Rhinolophus ferrumequinum: one gene and its partners. The main gene of each other region encodes a partner of the protein of the gene in region 2 in a complex. Links are inferred from orthologs where the notes say so. Each region holds a gene or a part of one and is shown on either strand. Other genes may lie near its edges.

Region 1 (7,720 bases), on a different chromosome or scaffold from region 2:
TGGAAGGTGACAAGAACCTGGGCGGGGGATGGAAAGAGCTTGGTGCTGCTGACTGCAGGGCTGGCCTCACCGGGAACGTGAAGCACCCCCAAAGAAGAGAGAGCCTGGGAGACAGCAGCAGGGGAAAGAAGACAAGGCAGGAACAGAGAAAGAAAACGGTGTTGGGGAGAGGGAAGGAGAGAGAAAGGGAGAGGGAATTCTTGGGCACAGCCCTAATCATAGCCTTGACATGAAATGTACTGCTGCACTCAGCATGGGACCTCCGCCAACGCCGCCAAACCAGCCCTCTTCTGTTTGGATTAGGCGGTGACATCATGGCCATGGGCCCGTCACTCCCGACACCAAAGGAAGGGAAGAATGGCGGGCAGGCGGGAAACCTGAGCCTCCCGCCTCTGGGCTTCCAGGGAGGGGAACCTGAAACTATGAAAACTCAGCCTCAACAAACCCCTGCCGAGCTGGGCTGCCCTTCCCCAGGTGTCCCACCCCTTGCTCCTGGACAGCCCTTGGTCCCCAGAACCCAGCTGAGGCTGCTTCCTGGAAGCTGGAGATGGACGGGCGCTGGGTTCCCATCTCTGCTCCCTGGCCCTGCTCCCTAACCCGCCCATGACAGGAAGCACATGACCACATGCCCAGGGCCAAGAGGAAATGCCCTGGGCATGAGAAAACGCACAGCAGCAGGCCTGAAAGGAGCGACTGCTTACATTTCTCTTACTCCTTTGTTTTCCCGACGACGACGTCTGAAGGAGGGTCTGAGGAGGCCCAGTGCAGGAGCTGCAGGAGGCACACAGGTGGGGCTGTGGGAGGTGGCAGAGGAAGGCAGAGCTCCGTGTGTGCCCTTCTGGGAATGGTGGACCCTCCCTCAATCCTGGAAGGAAGGCGTGCAGGACAGCACCTTCTGAGTTGGGGGAGGCAAAACGCATCTGCAGGGAGGCGAGGCAGTGCCATCCCAGAGGCCCCCAGAACAAGGTTGGCCAAGGCTTCCCTGCCTGGGGCTGATACCGCTGCTGCAACAGGGCGCCTGCCTGGAGGAGGTGTTCAGGTGCCTTCAGTCCGGGCTGTCTGCTCCCAGATGTTTTCGATGCGCCTGTCTCTTCAAGTCCATGACTTCTTGGGCTTCCTGTTGACAGCCTCCCTCCCTCCCTTCTTTTTGGGGTCACTCTAGACTGGACCATGCAGCCCCAGCCCTGAAGGCTTGAGTTCCGTGTATTGGGGAGCAGGAGTTGATATCCAGACAGGTTTGCAAGGTGGAGGCCCTGGCTCAAGGCTGCCTTTGCCCCAAAGGGTGCCTGCCTGGGAGGAGAGGAAAGGGGGCAGGTGGCAGGTGTACAGGCAGAGAGAGGCCAAGCCCCACTTTCTTTAAGATGCCCTAGAGGATGACAAGAAATGCAGCCATGGATGCAGCAAAAGAACCCCCAGTGGGAGGCGTGAGCCAAGAGCAGTGTTGGTGAACGAGTGGGGTCGTTTGAGAGTAAAGGCCTTGGGCCAGTACAGTTTCGGTGCTGGGAGACGTGCCCCCCCAGACCCATGTGCCCTTGAGCTGCAGCCAGGCAGGCTTTGGTGTTCCACAGACAGACAGCACAGAGAAACCCGTATTCCTGCTCTTGGAGCGGTCCTTTTTAGGGTCCTCCTCTGGAAGTTGTTTTTCCTGCACAAGGAGGAGGATGTGACATCTGTCCTGTCACCTAAGTTCCCGCCACCCAGAGCCACTCCTCTCACTTTTTGCAAACACCTTTTTCTACACCTGTCTATATCCATGCATATGTTTCATTTCACATGAATGAAACATTATCCATGCTATTTACTCATGGGCGCCTTTAAAGGACAACCTTTTCACTATCCCTTGCTTCCCTCCCTCCCCTGAGAACCAGTGTGGACGGGTGGTGCACCCGGAACACACACTGACGTGGGTTTGCTGCTATGGGCATTACTCTGCTCGACCTTGACACAGGCGATGGAACTTTGCATTTTGCTTTTCTAAAGAGCCAAGATTTTTATTAGTTTCCCTAAGTGAGGGCTTGTCAGCTGGGGTGGTTATGCTCCCTCCCCCACCCACCCCCCAGGAAACACTGGGTAATGTCTGGACATGTTGGGCTGTCACAACTTGGGATGGGGTGCTATCAGCATTTAGAGGGTGGAGGCCAGGGATGTTGCTCAATACCCCACAGAGCCCAGGGTGCCCCCCCCCCCAATGCTGTAGCCCAAGGTCAGCAGGGCCGGGGACTTGGAAGCTGGCCCTGGCTGCAGAGCATTAATGATGAAATTGATGAAATGAAACAAAAATAGGAACATGCTTCAGAACGTCCACCGCTGACCACAAAGGCTTATGTGGAGTGTGCAGGGAACTGTTGCCCATCTTTATGCTGTAGGTGGCCCAGCCATTCTTGACTCCTTGTCATCTTCAGGACGTCCTATGGCAAACAGCCCACCAGGGAATGTTGGGGACAGATATCTGGGCTGGGAGATGCCACTTGCCTCCTGTTGCCCAGAGTTGACAGAGGGGGCCATCGTGACCCTGAAGTCAGCTGTCCGTTCCTTTCTGAGGAGACGCATCACAAACCACAGAAACCTCCAGACAGCCAGGCAAGAGACACCCCCACCACCTCCCCCTACAGCCACCCTCTGCCTGCTGCCCCCAGACCTGCCCAAGACATTTCCACCCTTTCGGGTCCAGCTTCCTGCGTACGGGGGGCCTATTTTGATGCCCACACCCCGTAGAGCATCTGGCTTTCCAGAACCTGCTGGAAGAAGTGTGGGGGCTCAGCTCAGCACCAGCTCTCTCTAGGGAGAGAACACTCCGGACATGGGAGGAAATGGATCTCCTGCAAACCGGAAGATGAGTCCACCAGGAAGACATGCTTCCAACTCTTGTCCAGACTCACTGGATGGAGGTCACCTCTTGCCCAGGCCTGAGAGGTCATCCTGACTCTTTTTACCTGAGTGGGGTGGGAGGGAGGAGGCCTCGGCGCTTCCTCCTGGCCCTGGACAACATTTACTCTGCCAAGCCAAGCCCAGGATGTATTTGCTGGGTGTGCTCAGACCTGGGCGGGAAGGCTGACAGCTCCGCGGGGTTCTGCTGGGCTCTAAATTGGGAAAGTCTCTTTGGGGGGAGGCAGGTGAGTGTACCTGGTCAGAAGTGGTGGCCCCAGGGGTGTGGTCTGAGGGTGCTAGAAGCCAGCCCCTCCCCAGCTGGCCTAGCAGGCAATGCTCCCTCCTGTCTATCCTGAGTTCTGCTCTGCTGGGAGCCACACGTAACAAGCCGAGGTCCTGCAGGCTGTAGTCAGATGCACACTGCAGGGAGCGGTGTCTCCTGTGTGGCTCCTCTGTTCGCCCACTGCCAACAGTAAAGTAGAGGAGGCCGGTTGGGAGACAAGGTGCGCCCCGGGCTCCTCCCACCTGCTTCTCTCTCTTGCCTGGGTTTGAGGCAAACTGACCCCATCCTCCCTCCTTGGGGGTGAGGTCAGAGCTGCAGCCCTTTCCCTGAATTTCTCCCGTCTTGTTGCCCCCCTCTTGGCCGTGGAGCAGAGAACATGTAACACTACTCTATTTTACATGAACAAAGGCCGAAAAAAGTGACTTTGGGTTTTTGTCAGGGTGCTAAAAATAACTCCTCTGCCTATTTAACTTTTCTTCAAGTTGTCTGTTTCAAAGGACACATAAGTAGAAAGAAATGATTTTCCACTCTTTAAATATTTTCCAGTTTCACATCTCAAGTCAGCACCACACAGTTCAGCAGGCAATTATTCTTTAATTTCCTCCCTTTACATCTCCCCAGCTGGATTCGAAGCATCCTGTGGGCAAGAGGGAGGGTCTGTGTGTAAGAGCGCCCACTGCAAAGGGATTCAGGGCAGGCTCAATGACAGGTAGACAGAATCCCCCCGGGGTCACACTTCACGTGCCGGGTCCACACCTCTAAGATCTTCTGCCCTTCCTGGAACACAGAACTGTTTTGGGAAGAGTTCTACAGCTCCCACATTTGTGGGCTAAGGGAGGGAACTGTGAGCAGAACCCAGCAAATGCTTTCATTCAATCCTACCACCTCCTGGGCTCCCGGGCCCAGCCCCCTGGCTCTTGTGGGCTGGTCAAAATATGGCCAGTTTATATAAAATCCTGTTTTGTTCATAGTAACCACTCCTGCTCCCTTACCAACTAAACTGACTAAGCGGCCTTAAAATTCTGAGGCCTCCATTTGAAAAATGAATCCTCAGTAAGTTTCAGGAGGCCACCGACCCACAAGGAGGCACGGGAGGGGGCCGCAGAGAATGGTCCCTCTTCCGAAGCTCACACCCCTTTTGCTCAATCTCTGGCTAGAATCTAAGGGCCCCCAAAGGTGGAAGGGAATCAGGCAGTGTACACCTCCCATACCAAGCTGGAGGGGAAGGGGTAGGGGTGGTGGGTGGGCTGCCTGGTGCCTTGGGGGGGGGCTTCGAGTCCCAAGTGCTGAGTCAGGGCCGCCTGATGCGCTGTCCTCCTCGCATCCTGCCCCCCACTACAACCTCTGTCGGTTTGAGAGGCTGCGGAGTGCTGCCTAGGGCGGTGGGAAGCCAGGTGCGCAGCGGCGGGCCCCCCAGGGCACAACAAAAGCCGAGTTTGGGGTAGGGCCTGGGAGGCGCGGGAGGCGCGGGGGCGGGGCCACTGGAGCCCCTGGAGCCCCATTGGTCGTCGGCCACTGGAGGCGGAGCCCGACACCCTCCCAGCTCAATAAAGAGCCAGGTCGGTGCAAGCTTGCAGCGCACACATCCGTAGAAGGTTGTGGAGGAGCTGGGACCCGCGCCACACGCGCTCGCTTCGCCGCCCCCCACCGCTTTCTTCTCCGCGCTTCAGCCGCGCCCCCGCCCTCGCGCCTCCCCCGCGACACAGACCCGGGAAAGTTTGTGCGGGCGAGTGCGTGCCGGGTGCGGAGGGAGCGCCCGGGAGCGCAGTGAGACCGCGCACCGAGTCCGCCCAGAGGGGAGCGCCCCGAGCCCAGGCGGCGGCGGCCGAGCCCCGAGCCCGCGCCCCCGGCCCGCGCCCCCCGCCCGCCATGGGCGCCGCGGCCCGCAGCCTGTGGCTCGCGCTCGGCCTCCTGCTGCTGGGGACGCTGCTCCGCCCCGCCGACGCCTGCAGCTGCTCCCCGGTGCACCCGCAACAGGCGTTTTGCAATGCAGATGTAGGTAAGAACGACGACCCGCCCAAGCCTGGTGGGTGACCTCCCCCGCGGGGCTCGCGGGACCCCCGAGGGTTCGCAGGAGCCCCGCCCGCCTTCTGGCCCTCAGCGCCTTCTCGAATCCTGCAAGTTGACGCCAAAATCGCACTTTCTTTTCCCCCTTCCTCTCCCTTTCTTTCCCTCTCTGCCGAGATGCTTCTCAACCTCAAAATTCCACCGAAATTCCGCTGCAGCTCCAGCCCCAGAAAAGGGAGCCAGGGAACGGATTGGGTTTTGGCAGGCGAAGGGCCCTTGGGATGCCAGCGCGGGGGTGGGGGATAATGGGGGACACAGCGTGTGTGTGTGTGTGTGGGGGGGGAGTCTTGGCCTCTGTGGGCTGGAGGGCTGGGGACCCCAGGAAGAAACTTTCACAGGTGAAATGGCAGTTGGGCTCCTCTGGGCTTGGGGTTGGGTGGGGCTGGGCCTCTCCCACCAGCCCCGTTTGGGGGCTCACCGGATTAAAGGGGGGGCGGGATGAAAGCTTCCCTCCCGCGGGCAGGCTCCAGGGCTCAGAGGGGCCGTTGGGAGAGGCCTGCAGAACCCGTGGGCTGGCCCCTTGCTCCGTGTTCTGCCCAGGAGGGTCCTTACTGCTTGCTGCTGGTGACTACTTTTCAGGACACACCAAAACTGGAGACCTTAGTGACTGGAAGCGGGTAGGTGGGGTTGTGTGGCTGCTTAGAGCCCCTCGGAAATATCTATTATTCTCAGGACTTCTTGCCCCCCAGAGGTGGGAGCTAGGGAGGGAAGAGAAACCCACTTATTTGTTCTGGTCCTCAAGGGGCAGCAGGAATGGGTGGAACCAGCTGGGCCCCAGAGGTTCCCATCCAGGTCTGATGCTTGCAGGCTTCACCAGCTCTGGGGAAGGTCAGCCAGCTTGTCCTGGGGCAAGTTCAGTTTCACCAGAAGGACAGATGCCCTGCAGGTGGGCGGGCCTCTGCAGCGCCCTTTGACCTCTCAGTAGCTTTATTTTCTGTTCCTTTGTCGCAGCTGGGCTGCACTCACCTGCATAGGCTCCAAGCTGGGGTTTCTGGGTTCCCCCGTTGTCAGCCGTGCCTCCTGGACTCCTCCACACCCCAGCTGGCCCTTTAAGCTGCCTCTGCGGCCTAGCCTGGGCAGCCTTCAGGTGCTGCCACCTGTGGTATCACATGGCTCAGGCCACCTGGGCGTGGGGTGTGCTTGCTGAGTAGGTTCCACAAAACCCTAACTGGGGGAAGGAAGGTCTGTTCTCTGATTTGGTTTTGAAGCTCAGCAAGATTTGAGGGGGCAGGAGAGGTTCCTCCGTTGGGAGGATCTACCTTCCCGTGGGGTGTCCCCTGGACGTCCAGGCCTGTCCAGGCCCCTTTGCTGAGAGAGAAGCCATGCTTCTGGCCACCAGTTGTGGCGCAAAATAAGGCTGAGGCCCAGAAGGCATCATGGCTCTTGAGACTCCCCGGCGTGGCTCACAGGAGCCAAGGGGACAGGGGCTGGGCCTTGGGACCCCCTCACACTTCTCAGCTGCTCCTGCCACTCAGTGCTTGCCCAGGGCGGGCTGGGGCTGGGGTTTGGATCATGGGCAGCAAAGGTCAGGGTTGGGGAGCTTCATTATGCCTGGAGGCTCCTTCTTGCTTTGTGTGTTACTCTCTCCTCCGCCTGGATCTCCCTTGTTTGTGTCCAAATTATTGCATCAAAATCATGGAGCCTTAATCCCATCGCAGCCCGAGGCTGGGAGGGCGGGGCCTGCAGATGCCAGAGTTTCAGGGCAGAACCCAGTGTGTTAGACTCCAAGGGCTGTTGGAACAAACTGCTACATACTGGGGGGCTTCAAGCAACAGGAATTGGTTCTCTCACAGTTTAGGAGGTCTGCAGTCCAAAATCGAGGTGTGGGCAGGGCTGGTTCCTTCTGGAGGCTCTGAGGAAGAATCCATCCGGGCCCCTCTCCCGGCTGCTGGTGGCCCCAGCGGTCCTTGGCCGGCAGACGCATCGTTCCGCTCTCTGCTCTGTCTCCACATGGCTGTTTCCTCGGTCTGTGTCTGTGTCCAAATCTCCCTCTTCCTATAAGGACGCCAGTCATTGGATTTGGGCCCACCCACATCCAGCATGACCTCATCTTCACTTGATCACATGTGCAGAGACCCCGTTTCCAAATAAGGTTCCATTCACAGGTCTGCGTGGCCATGAATTTGGGAGGATGCAATCTGAGCTAGGCTGTCCAGTCTTGTTCCACAGTCAGCCCTTCCCTGTTTGGTGGGCTGGGAATACCGAGCTGAGACATCCCCGGGCTGGCCCTGGAGGGCCTGGAGTAAACCTCGCAAGGAAAGCAATGGCCTTTTCACGTCACTGCTCCTTTAATGGTGCAGGTTCGGGAATCCCTCCCCATTCCTCCTCTTGGGCTGAGAGCAGAATTGCCTGGGATCTTTTAACGATCACTCAGGTCTCAGTACCCTTCGCAGATGTAGAGTCTGGCTCAGACCTCTGCTTTTACAGTTTTGAATCCCCACAGGTGACTTTGTGCCATCAGAACTGTGGCCCAGGGTTCTGGAAAAGGATGATAGCCTGGTG
Region 2 (8,081 bases):
ATATTTCAAAGCTTCAACGATTGAAATGTGCAAGGCTCTTCCTCTGGAAAGGCTGCTCTAGCTCTATTTTAAAATGGCTCCACTTATGTCAACTTTTCACAAGGCCAACGGCCTTCCACAATTAGGCCACAACCTATCTACTCACAACATTATTTTTCATTTTTCATTCCTAGCTTTCACACAATTTTTACTTCAGTAAAAAAAATTAACTCTGCCATTTTCCATGTAGACTCTAAACTATTCATGACTGCATAGTGGTTTATTCTGTTCCTACATTTTCCTCCTTGTCCAAGTCATTTCAGGTTCCACTCTTTGTGAATTTTTCTATGGGCTTTTTCTAAGGTAAACACATTTTTTTCCTGCATAATGCCTATACAACTTCTTTCTTTATTCCTTGTAGAATTAAGGGGTCATCTCCTCTATCAGATTATATCCTTCCTTCTTTCATTTCCTTCTTTCATCTTTCCATCTTTTTCTATTTTTAAATAACTAATTGGTCATTATTTCTAAATTTCTCTTTTAAATAGTATCTCCAAATTTACATTCTTAGTTTGGGTATTCTGAAGAATTTGACCCAGACACTTGATAAATGAATGTTCAGCTGAAAGAATGGTTATATCAGTTGGAGATAACAAGGATCATGTGTTATCTTATCTGATTAGTCATGGAGAAGCATGATACACAGGGAGACAAATGTGAAAAGTCATCAGACAGAATGCTACTTAGACTTACTGTCAGCTTTTGTATCCAAGTTTGGATTACATTGAATTTAAGTTTACTTCCAAGTCTCTGATTCCTGGAAGTCAGATTTATAAAGCTGGTCTTTATCTGACCCTTCTATGTATTTAGCCATATGACAAATGACTGTTCTGCGGGGGGGGAGGGGAATTTTCTTTTTCTGATGTTCACAGCTCCCCTCTCCATTTAGTGTATTTACTCTGTCTCTTCCTTCTTTCTTCCTTTCTTTTCCTATCCCTCTCTCACCCCTCCTTTCCTTTTCTTCCTTCCTTCCCCTCCTTTTCCCTCCTTCTTTCACTCAGTTGCTCTTTAATGTACCTATTCCTTCTCATTAATGCATTGCCTTTTAAAATGTAATCTACAAAATAAAACTTGACTATCTCATGCATTGCCAGAAAACTCCCTGATTCTAGAATCTTAGTTTGGCTATTCCACAAACATAGGATGAGGATTTTGAATATGTAAGTCTTTGATTTATTCTCTTATTAGAAAGACTTAAGATGACAGCTTAAACTTTTTCTGAGAAAACGAAACTTCTTTAAAATTCGGTTATTAGGAGAGTTGGTCAATATCACATGTAAGATCTGGGAATTTAGAAACATATGCATGATTTGTGAATTTTTTGACTTTTCATTTTGACTTTTGCTGTGAGCCTTTCATTCATAATTAATGTATTAATTAATTATCTAAGCAATTTTGGGGTATCTTTTATACAGAAGGCATTGTGTTAAGTATTAGGAATACAGAAATAAATGAGAAGCAGTTCCTATCCTCAAGAACTTATGGTAATATAGGGGAGGGTATAAATACACCATTACACTACAATTCAGTCAGAATCAGCAGCAACGGAGGCAGGTACAAGATACCATTAGAAAGTAAGTAATGAACTATTCCTGGGGCTTGAGGAAGAACTCTCAAAGAAGTCTCTGAAGCTGCTTTAAAAGATGACAAAGTTCTGCCTTTGGCAGACTTTTGTGTATATTTCAGGGACAATATGGTACATTTTGCCAATTACATTTGAACAGTTGGGAAAATAATCATAATACTTGTAAGGCTTCCTTCTAAACTTTAAATATGTTTTATAAATTTTGGTACTGGAGAAGTATTGCAAAACCTTAATCTAGAGGAAATTGACGATTGTGGCTGCCACAGCTCTCCTACTTTTAATCTCTCACTTCCTTTTCTGTCTGACTCCATCACCCTTTCGTGGAATGCGTTTCCACTACAGGGCAAGGCCCTTAGCTATCCTGACATCAGTGTGTGAACAAATATTTCCCCTTTATTTCCATCAAGACAAGACACAGACCTCCCCCCACCCACCAAAGGAATGTAGAACACGAGTTTTGGAATGTTTTTAGACAGCATCTAATCTAAAAATGGATGCTTAAATTTGATGTATAGCTTGTGCCGAGTGGTCCTCAGGCATCTGGACATCTCCTGTTACAGGGATCCTATGACTGAGGAATCCTATTCCATTTTTTATACATATTGGATGAAATCTCTCCTGTGTTTATTAAGAAACATGCAAAAATAAAGCAAAAAAAAAAAGGCAAGAAAAGAAAATACAAAAATTTTGCAAGTGGGAGGAAGCAAAACCTACACTTATTAAATGTTCACTAAGCGCACAATTTTTCTTCTGCCTTCCCCTCACCCCCCAACCACTCCAGTTCAAGCCGTTGTTTCTCAGTCTAGTTGTGTAGGACACAGCTCCCTGGCCCATGCTGGGATTATGAGCCTTGCTCCACCCCCCTCAACCCCCAACCCCAGGCAGTCGGTTCCCCGTGGCCACTCACAGCACGTAGCAGCTCAGGGCAGCTCTCACTGCATGTTAGCCGCTCTGGCTGGCCTCAGGCCCTTCATGGCAGTACATGGTAGCCTACAGCAGCACACAGCAGCCCACGGCAGCACACAGCAGCTCACATTGGCTGCTGGCCACTCACACTGGCCACCAACTGCTCCTGATGACACACAGTAGCCCACGGCAGCTCACGCCAACCTCTGGCTGCTCATGGCAGACCAGCTTCAGGGAGAGCTGTTGTTCACAATCTTAGCTGTAGAGGGCGCAGCTCACTGTGCCATATGGGAATCCAACTGGCAGCATTAAGAGTACGGTTGCTCCAACCACCTGAGCCACCGGGCCAGCCCAAGTGCACATTTTTATTCACTATTTTACTTAATACTCATTCCCAGGATGTTCTGTTTTTAGTAAACAAATAAGCAAGCATACAAACAAAGAATAAAAAGGGTAGTAATGAACAAAACTGTTGTGTACTTACTGAACATTTAATAAGTGTAAGCTTTACTCCCTCTGATTTGCATTCCTTTTGCATTTGCTTTTTTTGTTTGTTTTATTTTTTGTAAGGGTTAGGACCAGTGGGAGAAATGAATGGGTGTCTGATGGCAAGAAGACTGTAAAAAGTTTCACAAAGGTTCTTCTTTTGAGAATATTTAGTGCTTCCTACAAGCATTTAGTATACACAGTTGTTACTATAAGACCCGGTCTTATTTTCAGGCAAACACGGTATGAGTAGTATTCTACTGACAACGAAAAAGAAAGAAAAAGAAGCAAGGGAAGGAACATAAAGGGGAAAAAAAGGAAAAAGGAGAAGACAGGAATAGAGAGAAAAAAAGATAAGCAGCATGGGGAGAGAATTTAGGATGGCTTTTCTTTTTTTAACTTCAAAGTATCTACTAATTTGAATTTAGGGAGAAGGAAAAGAAATTGAAAGAATTTTTTAAAAGTGTAGAAGATAGAGACAGAGGAGAATTTTAGTCCAGTAAGCATGTAATCCTTTCAATTCTACTAGTATTTATGGAACTGCTATCACAGGTCTGTTGCTCATTAATAAACTGGGTACAGAATTAAGACCAACCAAAAGAGAATGGATACACTTCTGTTTTCTTCAGAATCTTTGTTCTATCCTGCCTCTGAGTTTTTCTGTAGTCACACAACATCCTAGCCGTTTGTCCCCTGACACCTTTCCTTAAAGAAAGAAGAGTCTGTGGTACTGCACTTCTCTGGGACTGGTTACATCCTGTGTCTCTCTGTTTGGTCTCCAAAAGGAGGGTTTGCAGCCAATGACGAGTAAGATTCCCCATGGAGGGGGGGAACAACTCAATCCAGGCGGAACCCCACAGAGACCCCCATGAGCTGCCCTAGAAGATCTGGGAAGGAGCCTTGCCTCCCCTTCCCCCATGCTTGAGAAAAAGCTGCTGACTCTGGCTGCTCCCTCTCACCTAATTGTGAGAGAGGTCTTTAGAGTGATAAGATCAAGCTCTTTCTGCTCAGCTCATGCAATTGTTTCACCAGGAGAGACTTTGCCCCCCAGCGAGGTACATACTGCACCTTAGTAATTATGGGACTCTATGCTTCAGCTGTTTTGGGACAAATAATTTCGGTTTGAGGTAGTTTTCTGATGTAGTGGATGACTTTCACAGACCGTGTCTAAAAGAATGCCACTTCCTTGTTTGTGATCAATAAAAGCCATCAATCCGTCCAATTCGGGGCTCTAGTCTTTCGAGGCTCCGAGACCCTTGGCTCTCTGAGATTTAACCGCATTGAGTCTCTGTTTCTCTCTTTCTTAAAATACTTAACCCAAAGCCGCCTCTTCTCGCCTCCCCACAGACTGTGTTGCACTGGACGTGACATTTTGCCTCCTCAAGGATTAACAAAATCTAGCCAGAAAACAATAATAGGTATTTCAAATCAAATACACACACACACACACACACACACACACACACACACACACACACACACACAAATGAACTCTCCTTTCCAATTTTATTGTACATGTTATTTCTTCCACTTTTACAGAATCTAATAGTCTAATAGTACAGACTATAGCTATATATGTACAGCTTTTCATTTACTTAGGTCTTATAACATTTGATTTTAAATATGTTCTTCTAAAACTGCATTTAAAAGTTCTGCACAATTCTGGCTTTTTACCAAATCAGCCTACTTCTCTCAAATATACAAACATAAGTTGTCTAGTAAATTCCAGTTACTTTTTTCCAGAGGAAAAAAAGCCCTGTTTTTCTCTACCAAGACAGGAAGCATTCCCTGGAGAGGTTCATCATTATTTTGACTCGCAAAATTAGAAAGGTTGAGAGAAATTAGTAAAGTATCTTGTATCATCCTATTTTGGATTTGGAGGTTTTGGAAGTGGTCCAGCTGCTATGCAGGTGACAGCAATCATGAGTCAAGCTGTGCGTGATCTAAAGGAACATTGTCACCCTATAAAAGTTGGGCTCTAGACAGTGGACCTAGGAGAAGACAGGCAAAAAGCAAGGCACTAAGACCACACCAAGCTGAGTAAAGCGAGTGGAAATGAAGAACCTTCCAATGCTGCTGTTGCTGTGTGTGGCAGTTTGCTCAGCCTATCCACTGAAGGGAGCTGCCAGGGACGGGGATGACAGCATGGACCTTGTTCAGGTAATTAAGGGCAATACATTCCACACTCACTCACAGGGCCAAGTGGGAAAACCCTCTGTTTTCCATTCATAAACCTCATTCAGAGTGGTTTGAATTGCTGTGCAGGAGTAGTTCAAGGACAGAGAGTTATGAAGTGTTTGATGTGAAAAGGGTCTTGGTATCACATTATTCCGGCTTCTCCTTTCAGGGATGAAGAAACAAAGGTGAGATGGATGAGGTATTTCCCTAAGATCACAGACTCCATAATAGCAGCAGCACTGGGCTTGAGACACATGAACAAGGGGAGAGTTTGCAAAATGTGTCTTGCTTTGGAACTTTTTTAGATATCTTAATGTAAAATTAGCTAGATTTTTACATTGCTAGTGTCATGTTTAGACACAGGGATTTGTCCATGTTTTTTCCTAAGCCAAGTTCTTGTGAGACCAATGAAGTGGAAAATTGAGGAAACTAAACAAATGTACCTGAAATACACAATTAATCCCAAAGAAGTCTTTCAGTTTCTCCTTTAAGTGCACCAAATATTTATCTAAATTTTCCATTTCATTTTCATTGCTTTGGTAGTAAACTAAACTGTAGAGATTATTTAGTTACAAAGACAAAGCAAAGGTGAAGAGGAGTCTAATTGAAGAATGAAAAATAATATGACACTGATTTTTATTTTAGCAAACTGGAGGAATATTTGAAAAAGATTAAGTGAATAATTGCACAAGTGTACTACAAAAGGCTAAAAATCATAAGAATGACCTAAAATCTATACTTATTATCCCATTAGCACTACCTAGAAAACTACTACAACCTCGAAAAAGATGTGAAAGTCTTTGCTAGAATACAGGACAGTAGTCCTGTTGTCAGAAAAATGCAAGAAATGCAGAAGTTCCTGGGGTTGAAGGTCACTGGGAAGCTGAACTCCGACACTCTGGAGGTGATGCAGAAGCCCAGGTGCGGCGTTCCTGATGTTGGGCACTTCAATACCTTTCCTGGCATGCCAAGGTGGAGGAAAACTCACCTTACCTACAGGTAACGGGTCCCAAGAGGTTTTCACAGAACACTGAGACTTTATAAATTACTATCTCAGAAGAAAATATCATCTTCCTCAAATGTTCTCTCTCATACAGGATTGTGGATTATACACTGGATTTGCCAAGAGATGATGTTGATTCTGCCATTGAGAAAGCTGTGAAAGTCTGGGAGAAGGTAACTCCACTTACAATCTCCAGGATTTATGAAGGAGAGGCTGACATAATGATCACTTTTGCAGTTAGAGGTAAAAAGAAACAACAAACAAACAAACAAGACCCATGAAATGCATCCATTTGGCTGGTGGTGTTTTATTGGAAAGGATTCCAAAGAGATTCCTCATCATTAAGAACAATTAGCTTTCCAATTAAAAAACAAACAAAAACAAAATACAAAACACCAAAAACAAAACAAAACACATGTTCTCTCTTAGATCACGGAGACTTTTATCCTTTTGATGGACCTGGAATGGTTTTGGCTCATGCCTACCCACCCGGGCCGGGGATTCATGGAGATGCCCACTTTGATGATGATGAACAATGGACAAAGGACACATCAGGTTAGTTATACATTTCTCAGAACGATTCTGATGCTTTTAATATTTGGAAAAGTCTTAATAACTAAGAACATTGAAGAAATGGGTTGTTTTGGATTGTCCGATGGGTCACAGACCAGCAGACGGTAAGTATTTTTGTCATAATTATTATTGAAAAACGTTTTCAGATGTCTAAAAAGTTTATTCTCTGTCTTGGTGAGCACAACATAGGGAGCATCATTAAGTATTTCTTTGATGACTATGGATCTTTTGTGATCTTAGAATCATCATTAAAAACAATTTCTCATATCAAATTGTAGCTATCCAAGGGTTAAATTTACACTAAGTTGTGCCCTGGATACTGTTTATATCCAACTGGGGAAATTTCCCCCTATGACTTCTATACTCTTCAAAACAGAAATGAGAATTAAATTCCAGAAACTGAGGTTCCAGTTTAGGTTTATCTGGTTAAATGAACAATTTACTCTCTCTAGGTTAAAACAAATTTTATGGGCTTGTTCTGAAGGGAAGGGCTAACTCCGAAATAAAAGGTCCAAACCTTTCAGGTAAAAGAATGTTTTTCATTTCATAACTGTATAGTTTGAGAATGGCTTCCAAAGTTTTCAAACAATTGGTTAAAACAAATACTTCTACTTCTGAAATTTAATTTGGATTTATAATCAAAATGCAAACAGAATCTCTGTAGAGAGAACAAATGTGACGTTAGTGCTGGATAAAATTATTTGTTGTGATTGAATTAACAACTTCTTGCTCCAAATGGACAGTCCCAAAAAGTCTCAAATAACAACTTTAAAAGTAAAGTCAACTTACTTGGTATGTCAATCATAATTACCCAATGCCTTCCAATTTCAGTATTCTGTGTTTTTTTGTTTTGTTTTGTTTTTATAAAAAAAATGTAATATGAAGAAAAAAACCTGAGTAGAGGTAGTGTTTGTTTGGCCAAAATCTCTTTTGTGATCAATGCTAGACATGATTGGGCGTATTATGTTTTAAATCAATCTTATAGATCCAATGACCTCTATCATTCTTAATATTTTTGAACACAATATGTGCTGAATAATCATCATGAGGCTGAAAAGTTGTGCAGGCAATATTCCGATGTCAAATAACATTAGTAAGATTGTTTAAGGATTCCAGAATTGAAATGAAGAAACTGTGATTCATTTAATTTAGATTGTGACTGGCAAATGTCAGTACATTGAAACAATGTTTATCTTTTCATTGACAAATGAAGAGAAATATTTATTGATGCGCTAAACCAGTAGGTTCATGCCATTCCAGAATACTACAAGAAAAGGGACCTGGTTATAAAATTAATGGGCTTCTGCAGCA
Region 3 (7,589 bases), on a different chromosome or scaffold from region 2:
TCAAAATCAAACCCAGAGCCCTGTCTGTCTGGCTCCCCCTCCACCACCCCCAAGTTCCAGACTTTCTGCCTCTGCTTGGATAAGGGTGGGAGCCTTTTCCGGAAAAGGGAAAGTTTGTTTATACAGTGACTGGATGATAGAAAAGTGAGTGTGCATGCCTGGGGCTGTGGTCGTGAGCATGTAGCAACTGGACCCTTCAGCCAGGCCTTGCATGTTAGCCTTGTCCACATGCATACACAACCTAGAGACACACACACAAATCCCTAGAACTCAGATCTACACGATCAAACCCAGAGATGCCCACGCAGGTTGAGACCCATGAGATGGAGAGACCTGCAACCAACACAGGCTCCAGAGCCCACGTTGCTCTCCAGCTGCACCGGCACCCAGTCATTCAGCCCAGCGCTCCAGGCCAGCCTCCTTGCCCAGCAGCACACACTCAACTGTTTTGGGCGCAGACACATACACAGCCCTCCTCCCATCACCCAAATCCACACAACAGTTAGAGGGACACACACAACATGAAGGATTACCCATGCAATACAGAGACAACCCTCAAGGCACAGCCACAGAACGCAAAGGCACACACAACTCGGACAGGCACACACAACAGAAGTGGACACGTAGTCAACACTCACAGACACACACGCAACACTCCTAGGCAAACTCACAACAAACAGAAGGACCCACTCCACATACAGAGGTACACACACTTCTAGGTATTCACAGAACCACTGAGACCCATAACACGGACACCCACACCACACTCCTGGGCACACAGAGTATCTAGGGACATGCACACAACATGCCTTGTCATATGTACAAACGGAGAGGCATACACACAGCTAGAGACACCCACATCCCTCCTAAGCATACACACAACACTTGGGTGTGTGCATGCGCGCACACACACACACACTCATTTGCTCACACATTCAGGTACAGGGATATGTCAAGTCTCCCTGATCCTGGGCGGGAGAGAGGGAGCTGAGTTGGGCGACCCCAGCCCCACACAGTACAGGATGCACATGGGGCTGGCCGTGCCCGCCCTCTGCTGTGCAGACTGCTGCCCCACAGCGTAGAGATGGTATTCCCTATTCCCGGAGGGGTGGCGAGGGCGGTGGCGGTTCCCGACAGGCACAGGAAGCCCGCAGGCTCAGGGTGACCGATTGACCTTCAGGCCTTGCCCGCCCTCCTTCCCGCATTCCCACCTTCCTCATTTCCCAAATGACTGTCGTCATTATGGGGCGCTGAGAGGAACCGTGTGGGGACGGGCTCGCGAGGATCGTCTGGGTAGTGTTGCAGGGAAACACTGCAGAAGCAGCGTGTGATGTGTGACGTAACATTCAGGCAACACTCAGCTCACAGAGGGGAGCAACACATCCACAAGGATATGTGCAACCTAGACCCGCTTTACAGAGGCACACACAACTCCTAGAAGCAACACAAACACACAGGGCTACACACACCCAGGTCCACACATACACCACACATACCACCACCTAAAGGCAAACATTCGACTCTCAAAGGCAGAGACACAGCAGAGAGCTGTGCACAAATGCACACACACAAGCCCAAATTTTCTAGGCTCCTCTTTTCCTAAACCCTCCTTATTTCCTCTGGACCTGAGCCTGAACACAACACTGTGGATGTGTATCTGTGTGTGTCCACTCGTGTGTCTGTGTGTGCCCGTACGTGTGTATGTGTGCCTGTGTGCCCGCACGTGTGTCTGTGTGCCTGTGTGTGCCCGCATGTGTGTCTCTGTGTGCCCACACGTGTGTATGTGAGTCTGTGTGTGCCCACACGTGTCTGTGTGTGCCTGCACGTGTGTATGTGTGTGTGTGTGCCCGCAGGTGTGTCTGTGTGTGCCCACACATGTGTGTGTGCAGGGAGCCCTGCACTCTGGGATCCCCTAGAGAGCCCTAGCTTTGAATCTTGGTCTCTCTTCCTCCTAAGGCCATGGGGGATCCTAGGCAGGTCACTTAATCCTCTCTGGGCCTCAGTTTCCTGATCTGTACAAAGGGTACAATCAGGCACAAGCACTTAGTGTGCTATGGGGATTGTCAGGTGTCTGCTCTGCCTACCTAGGTGGGCCCCATGGCCCCCACGGCCCCCACGCAGCTCCCCAGATGGTCACACACATGGACACCCCTCCATGAAACCCTACCAGTTTCAAAACCTGCACAATAAACCAGATCCACACAACCCCTCACATGTAGACAGTCGGCGAAACTCTGTGCTGACTCATGTTTCAGAATCACAAAGCTGGCGTCAGAACCAGCTTTGGGTCAGTGAAGTGCTGCAGCAGGACTTTCCCTTCTTTCACTTCTTCCTTTGGTCCCGACACTGACTTACTCAGCCCCCTGTCTCATTCACTCTCACTCCGCCACTTTCACAATCAGCTTCTCCAAATTCCTGGTTTACTTCCTCCCCTACTTCAGAGTAATTTCTTCACTCTCATTCCTGGGCAGGTCACTCAATCCTTTGTCTCAGTTTCCTCATCTGTATAATGAGAATATGAACAGTCTCTAACTCACAGGGATGTTGTGAGGAACCAATGAGTTGTGAAAAATGCTCAGCACAATACCTGGCACACAGGAAATCTGCATCCTCTAAAAGTGCTGGGACTATTATTATAATAGTGCTGGGTACTATTATTGGTAAGCCAACACTAATTAACCAGGAGGCAATCAGGATTGACTGAGAGATAAAATACTAAGATTATAGAACGGTGCTTGATAACCAGTAAGCACTCCTCAAGAGCTGGTGGTAGTTTTTATTGTGGTGGTATTGTTGTTGACTGAGTTAATCCAGCTTAATTAGCCAGGGGGTATTGCAGATTGAATGAGAGAATTTACACAAAGACTTCAGGGCACAGTACACAGTAAGTGCTCAATAAGTGATGCTAACAACTACCATTATTGTTATTATTGGTCTGTCCTCCTTGAACTAACGAAGGATGTCAATCTGCCCTCAGAGCCCTTTCCCAGGACCCCAGGGAAGATTCAGGCAGCATCTGGAAGCTGTTGGGCAGGGATTGCCTCACCCCACCATCTACGTCTACCGGGGCGTTGGCGGGGGGTTGGTGGGGCAGGGGCAGGGCAGGACGGGAGGGTATCAGTTTTCTCCTGACTCACTGGCCTCTTTCACCACCATTCAACTCCCCCCACTCCAATGCTCATTAATTCACTGGCACCTTCCCGCTTGCCAAGCCTGCGTTAAGATCCTGGCTCCAGTTGGCCTAGGTTCAAATCCCAGCCATTCCCTGTGATCCTGGGAAAGTTCTTCAATCCCTCTATGCCTCTTATTTCCTCATCTGTAAAATGGGAATAATGTTGGTACCCATCTCAGAGGCTTATTGTGAGCTTTAAAAAAACCGAATTATAGTTGACATACAATATTATATTAGTTTCAGGTGTGCAATATAGTGATTCGATATTTCATACATTATGAAGTGATCACCGTGATAAATCTAGTTAGCATCTGTCACCATACAAAGTTATAACAATATTATTGACTGTAATCTCTGTGCTGTACATTGCAGTCCCCTGACTTATTTATTTCATAGCTGAAAATTTGTACCTCTTAATCCCCTTCACCTATTTTGTCCACCCCCCATCCCTCCTTTTTTTTGACAACCACCAGTTTGTTCTCTATCTATGAGTCTGTTTCTCTTTGGTTTGGTTGGTTGTGTTTTTAAGATTCCACATATAAGTAAAATCATGCGGCATTTGTCTTTTTCTATCTGATTTATTTCACTTAGCATAATACCCTCTACTAGATCCACCTATGTTGTCACAAACATTGTGAGCTTTAAGTGAGATAAATGATGTTGAGTGCCTGGTACACAGTTGGTGCTATGTAAATGCTGACTATTTGCCTGTGTTTTTTGAGAGGTCATTAAGACCCAGGCTCTGGCTCCAGGCCACCTGAGTTCAAATCCCAGTTCTGTCCCTTATTAACTGTGACCTTGGATAAGTCACTTCATCTGTCCATGCCTCAGTCACTCCAGATTGTATTCTTCCTCCATTCACCTGCTTTATCTCCCTCCACTGCTTCTACTCAGCCTCCTCTCTGCCTCCCCAACCCTGCACCAGGATGTCGGGTGTATCAGAGAGGAATTTTTGCTTTTTCTTCTTTTTTTTTAAGGAGGGCACAGCTCACGGCGGCCCATGTAGGGATCGAACAGGCAACCTTAGTGTCATCAGCATCACGCTCTGACCAACTGAGCTAACCCACCACCCCTCCAGAGAGGAATTTTTGTGTGTGTTTGGCATACAGTAGGTGCACTAGAAATGTTCACCGACGAATGAACTAATTCAGGCTTCAGCCATGGGGAGTTTGGGGGTTTGTGGGTGATTGGATAGACTTTGGAGAAAGTTTGGAAGCTTTAGGGAATTGCACGGGGGGAATCCTGCCTCTAAGCCCTCCATTGAGGCCGCCTATGGGGCCGATTTGGAGATGGGGGAGGGGGATGACCAGGGCGAGGCGCAGGGGGAGGGAGAGGAGGGTGAAGCCCGTTTTCGGCAGCCCTCGGCCCGCCCCTTGGCCTCCACTGATGGTGGGCGGATGAGTAATGCGTCCAGGAAGCTTGGAGGCCTGTGGTTTCCGCACTACTGCCACCCCCGCCCCTCGAGTGGACATTTATCCTCCGCTGCTCTGGCCCTGCCGCCATCACTGCAGACCCAGCGCCCAGAGAAGCTACACCGAAGGTAGGCAGGGGCCTGCCTCTGTGGCAGCAGGGCCTAAAGCAGAGCTCGAGCTTTCCTGCCTCGGCTGCCGGACACCTGGCTGCTCAGCCTGGCTGGGTGGGGGTGGAGGGGGGTACCAGGACCCTGGGCTGGTCAAGGGAAAGGGGGGGAGGGTGCTGGAACTGCTCCCCCAATCCCGGCACTCCAAACTCCTCCGAACCCCTGACATCCATCCCAACTCTCCCAAACTCACGAAACCCTAATACAACAGAAGCCTCCTAAGCGGCCAACTGCCCTGAACTCCCTCATTGCCCCCCAAGCCTCCAGACTCCTAAATCCCCAACTCCCTAAACCTGGAGACTCATCTGCTCCCAAATCCCTCTGGCACCCCCACCCTCTTAAACCCCCCAAGTCCCGCAACTCCCTAAACCCCCTCAGCCTCCCCAACTCCCCCACCTCCTCTCTCTCTCAATATGCACAACTCTGAAAGTCCCAACCTCCCCCAAATTCCTCCAGCTCAAAAACCCCAAATTCCTCACCCCAACTCCTCTCAACTTTCCGACTTCCCCGACCCCCCTAAATCCCCTAACACCACAGCCCCATAATCTCCCCCACTCACCCAGTCCCTTAAATCACTCAAATTTCACAACTCTGAAACTCCTGACCCCCTAAACTGTGGGCTCTCAAATCCCCACCCCCACTTAAAATCCCCAAACTCCCCAACCCCTTAATCCCAAGTACAGTCACCTCATCCCCCTCCAGGCTGCTTGGTGGTGGTGGTGGGGGGGACAGGATGGGGTGGGAGGCCTGCCAAGTCTGAGGATCAGCTGGGCTGGGGGCCTCCCTGACCCCTCCTCCCTACCTCTGCAGAGCCCACTATGGCCCCCTTTGCGCCCCTGGTCTCCGGCATCCTGTTGTTGCTGTGGCTGGCAGCCCCCAGCAGGGCATGTACCTGTGCCCCACCCCACCCGCAGATGGCCTTCTGTAGCTCCGACCTTGGTGAGTTACCCTACTCTGCCCACACGCTCTGTGCTTTGTTTTCCGCCTCAGTCCATTGGGGTTCACGACAGGGCTCACCTCTAGAACAGTTCCAAACTCAGCCCTACCCTGACTCTGCTTTTGCCACACTGGCAACCTCATGGTTCCCTGATTACTCCAGGTCCAGTCCCAGCTCACGGCCTTTGCACTGGCTGCTCCCTCTGCCTGGTACCCCCTTGGCCCCAGGTATCCATATGGGTGGCTGCCTCAAAAGTCACCTTCTCAAAATTTTAATCCCTGTTTCCTAATACTCCTGATCCCCTTTACCCAACTCTGAAGTCTCCCGTCATACTTAATACCTTCTAACATTCCATAGACTGATCTATTTTGCTTGTGTTTAGTCTGCCTCCTTCTGGCTAGAATGTGAGCTTCACGAGGGAAGGGATTTCTGTGTTTTGTTCACTGTTGTGTCCCTAACACCCAGAACAGTGCCTAGCACACAGCAGGCACTCTAGAATATTTGTTGAGTGAATGAACACGTGATGAATATATGAAAAAGGCTTAAAGCAGTGCCTGGCAGAGTAGGCACTCAGTATATAGGTAAAGCAATGAACAGAACTATTAGTGTGTTGTTTGGCATCCAGTGATTGATATCTATGTATGTGCTTTGTTAGCATGACTGTTGTGATTGTTTTAGTTTTATTGGCTCACGTAGTTCATTTGACTCATTTTACCCCCTCTTCTCCGGCAGTCATCAGGGCCAAGTTCGTGGGGACCGCAGAAGTCAACCAGACCACCTTATACCAGCGTTACGAGATCAAAATGACCAAGGTACCCTTACTGCACTTTCCTCAGCAGTTCCTAACATCTTTCTCCCTGTCAAAGAGAGAGAGAGAGAGAGAGAGAGAGAGAGAGAGAGAGAGAGAGAGAGAGAGAGAGAGAGAGAGAGAGAGAGAGAGAGAGAGAGAGAGAGAGAGAGAGAGAGAGAGAGAGAGAGAGAGAGAGAGAGAGAGAGAGAAAGAAAAGCCTTTGGCTGTTGGTTGGTGAGCAGGAAGTTAGCTGTGATCTCAGGATGCTGGTATATGAAGAAGATAGAGTGGGAGGATTATGTCAGTAAAAGAGACTCTTCCCCTCATCCATCGACAGATGTTCAAGGGGTTCAGTGCCTTGGGGGATGCCCATGACATCCGGTTCGTCTACACCCCGGCCATGGAGAGCGTCTGTGGATACTTCCACCGGTCTGAGAACCGCAGCGAGGAGTTTCTCATCGCTGGTGAGGCCCCGCCCCCTCGCCCTGGGCCACGCCCACCCGTTCCTCAGACGCTGCTGGGTATCCTGGGCCCGGCGAGGCTCTGAGGGAACGGTCCCAGTTGAAATGGGGACCGCCCCCAGCCGGGTCGGTGCTGCAGGGACGCCAATTAGGCGCCGCCCTGACCCCGGCCTAGCCAATCAGAAGCTGCCTGTTGCCTCAAACCACCCCCCCCCCACCACCCCGCAGGACAACTGTGGAAAGGGCACCTGCACATCACCACCTGCAGTTTCGTGGCTCCCTGGAACAGTCTGAGTTCTGCTCAGCGCCGGGGCTTCACCAAGATCTATGCCGCTGGCTGTGAGGAATGCACAGTGAGTGCCTGGGCCCTGCCCACTACCTGGAGAGTGCTCCTTGGACTCTTCCCCAAACCGTGGCTTGTTTCTTGCTCCCTCTAGCCATTCCTTGTCCCTTTGGCTGCTCCCCAAATCCTTGGGCTGTCCCTGATCTCTCCTGCTGTTCCCCCAGGCCTGAGACCGTTCGCCTAACATTCTGGTTGTACCTTTGCTTGGCTTCTGATACCTGAGGATTCGCTGTTCCCTGGACTTTCTGGCTGCTTCCTGTCCCTCTAACTCTCCTTTGCTACTCTTCTATAGTCCTGATGTCTGTTC

The links.
Region 1: the proteins of stromelysin-2-like (region 2) and TIMP2 are in contact, whole or in part, in a crystal structure (PDB 4ILW), measured with the Homo sapiens proteins. The link is inferred for Rhinolophus ferrumequinum from reciprocal best matches to the Homo sapiens genes MMP10 and TIMP2. Residues at the interface, in NP_002416.1 of Homo sapiens: Glu155, Asp169, Phe170, Tyr171, Ser172, Pro176, Gly177, His178, Ser179, Leu180, Ala181, His182, Ala183, Tyr184, Pro185, Pro188, Gly189, Leu190, Tyr191, Val214, His217, Glu218, His221, His227, Pro237, Leu238, Tyr239, Phe242; in NP_003246.1 of Homo sapiens: Cys27, Ser28, Cys29, Ser30, Pro31, Val32, Gln36, Ala37, Asn40, Ser57, Gly58, Asn59, Asp60, Tyr62, Asn64, Pro65, Ile66, Lys67, Arg68, Thr91, Ala92, Pro93, Ser94, Ser95, Ala96, Val97, Cys98, His123, Leu126, Cys127.
Region 3: the proteins of stromelysin-2-like (region 2) and TIMP1 are in contact, whole or in part, in a crystal structure (PDB 3V96), measured with the Homo sapiens proteins. The link is inferred for Rhinolophus ferrumequinum from reciprocal best matches to the Homo sapiens genes MMP10 and TIMP1. Residues at the interface, in NP_002416.1 of Homo sapiens: Phe170, Tyr171, Gly177, His178, Ser179, Leu180, Ala181, His182, Ala183, Tyr184, Pro185, Tyr191, Asp205, Ala206, Ser207, Gly208, Val214, His217, Glu218, His221, Phe226, His227, Thr231, Tyr236, Pro237, Leu238, Tyr239, Asn240, Phe242, Thr243; in NP_003245.1 of Homo sapiens: Cys24, Thr25, Cys26, Val27, Pro28, Asn37, Leu57, Tyr58, Pro87, Met89, Glu90, Ser91, Val92, Cys93, Arg98, Thr121, Cys122, Cys155, Leu156, Ser157, Ile158, Gln173, Leu174, Gly177, Ser178, Glu179, Lys180.

The regions. Positions count from the first base shown.
Region 1 is NC_046304.1:52,689,875-52,697,594, reverse strand, and holds the start of TIMP2 (metalloproteinase inhibitor 2), read left to right. Parts: upstream 1-4,717; 5' UTR 4,718-5,020; coding exon 5,021-5,150; intron 5,151-7,720. UniProt on the Homo sapiens protein: Complexes with metalloproteinases (such as collagenases) and irreversibly inactivates them by binding to their catalytic zinc cofactor. Known to act on MMP-1, MMP-2, MMP-3, MMP-7, MMP-8, MMP-9, MMP-10, MMP-13, MMP-14, MMP-15, MMP-16 and MMP-19.
Region 2 is NC_046294.1:72,226,590-72,234,670, reverse strand, and holds the start of stromelysin-2-like, read left to right. Parts: upstream 1-5,013; 5' UTR 5,014-5,071; coding exon 5,072-5,176; intron 5,177-5,948; coding exon 5,949-6,193; intron 6,194-6,291; coding exon 6,292-6,440; intron 6,441-6,626; coding exon 6,627-6,752; intron 6,753-8,081. UniProt on the Homo sapiens protein: Can degrade fibronectin, gelatins of type I, III, IV, and V; weakly collagens III, IV, and V. Activates procollagenase.
Region 3 is NC_046284.1:86,405,898-86,413,486, reverse strand, and holds the start of TIMP1 (metalloproteinase inhibitor 1), read left to right. Parts: upstream 1-4,540; 5' UTR 4,541-4,576; coding exon 4,577-4,712; intron 4,713-5,561; coding exon 5,562-5,690; intron 5,691-6,420; coding exon 6,421-6,500; intron 6,501-6,815; coding exon 6,816-6,942; intron 6,943-7,167; coding exon 7,168-7,292; intron 7,293-7,589. UniProt on the Homo sapiens protein: Metalloproteinase inhibitor that functions by forming one to one complexes with target metalloproteinases, such as collagenases, and irreversibly inactivates them by binding to their catalytic zinc cofactor.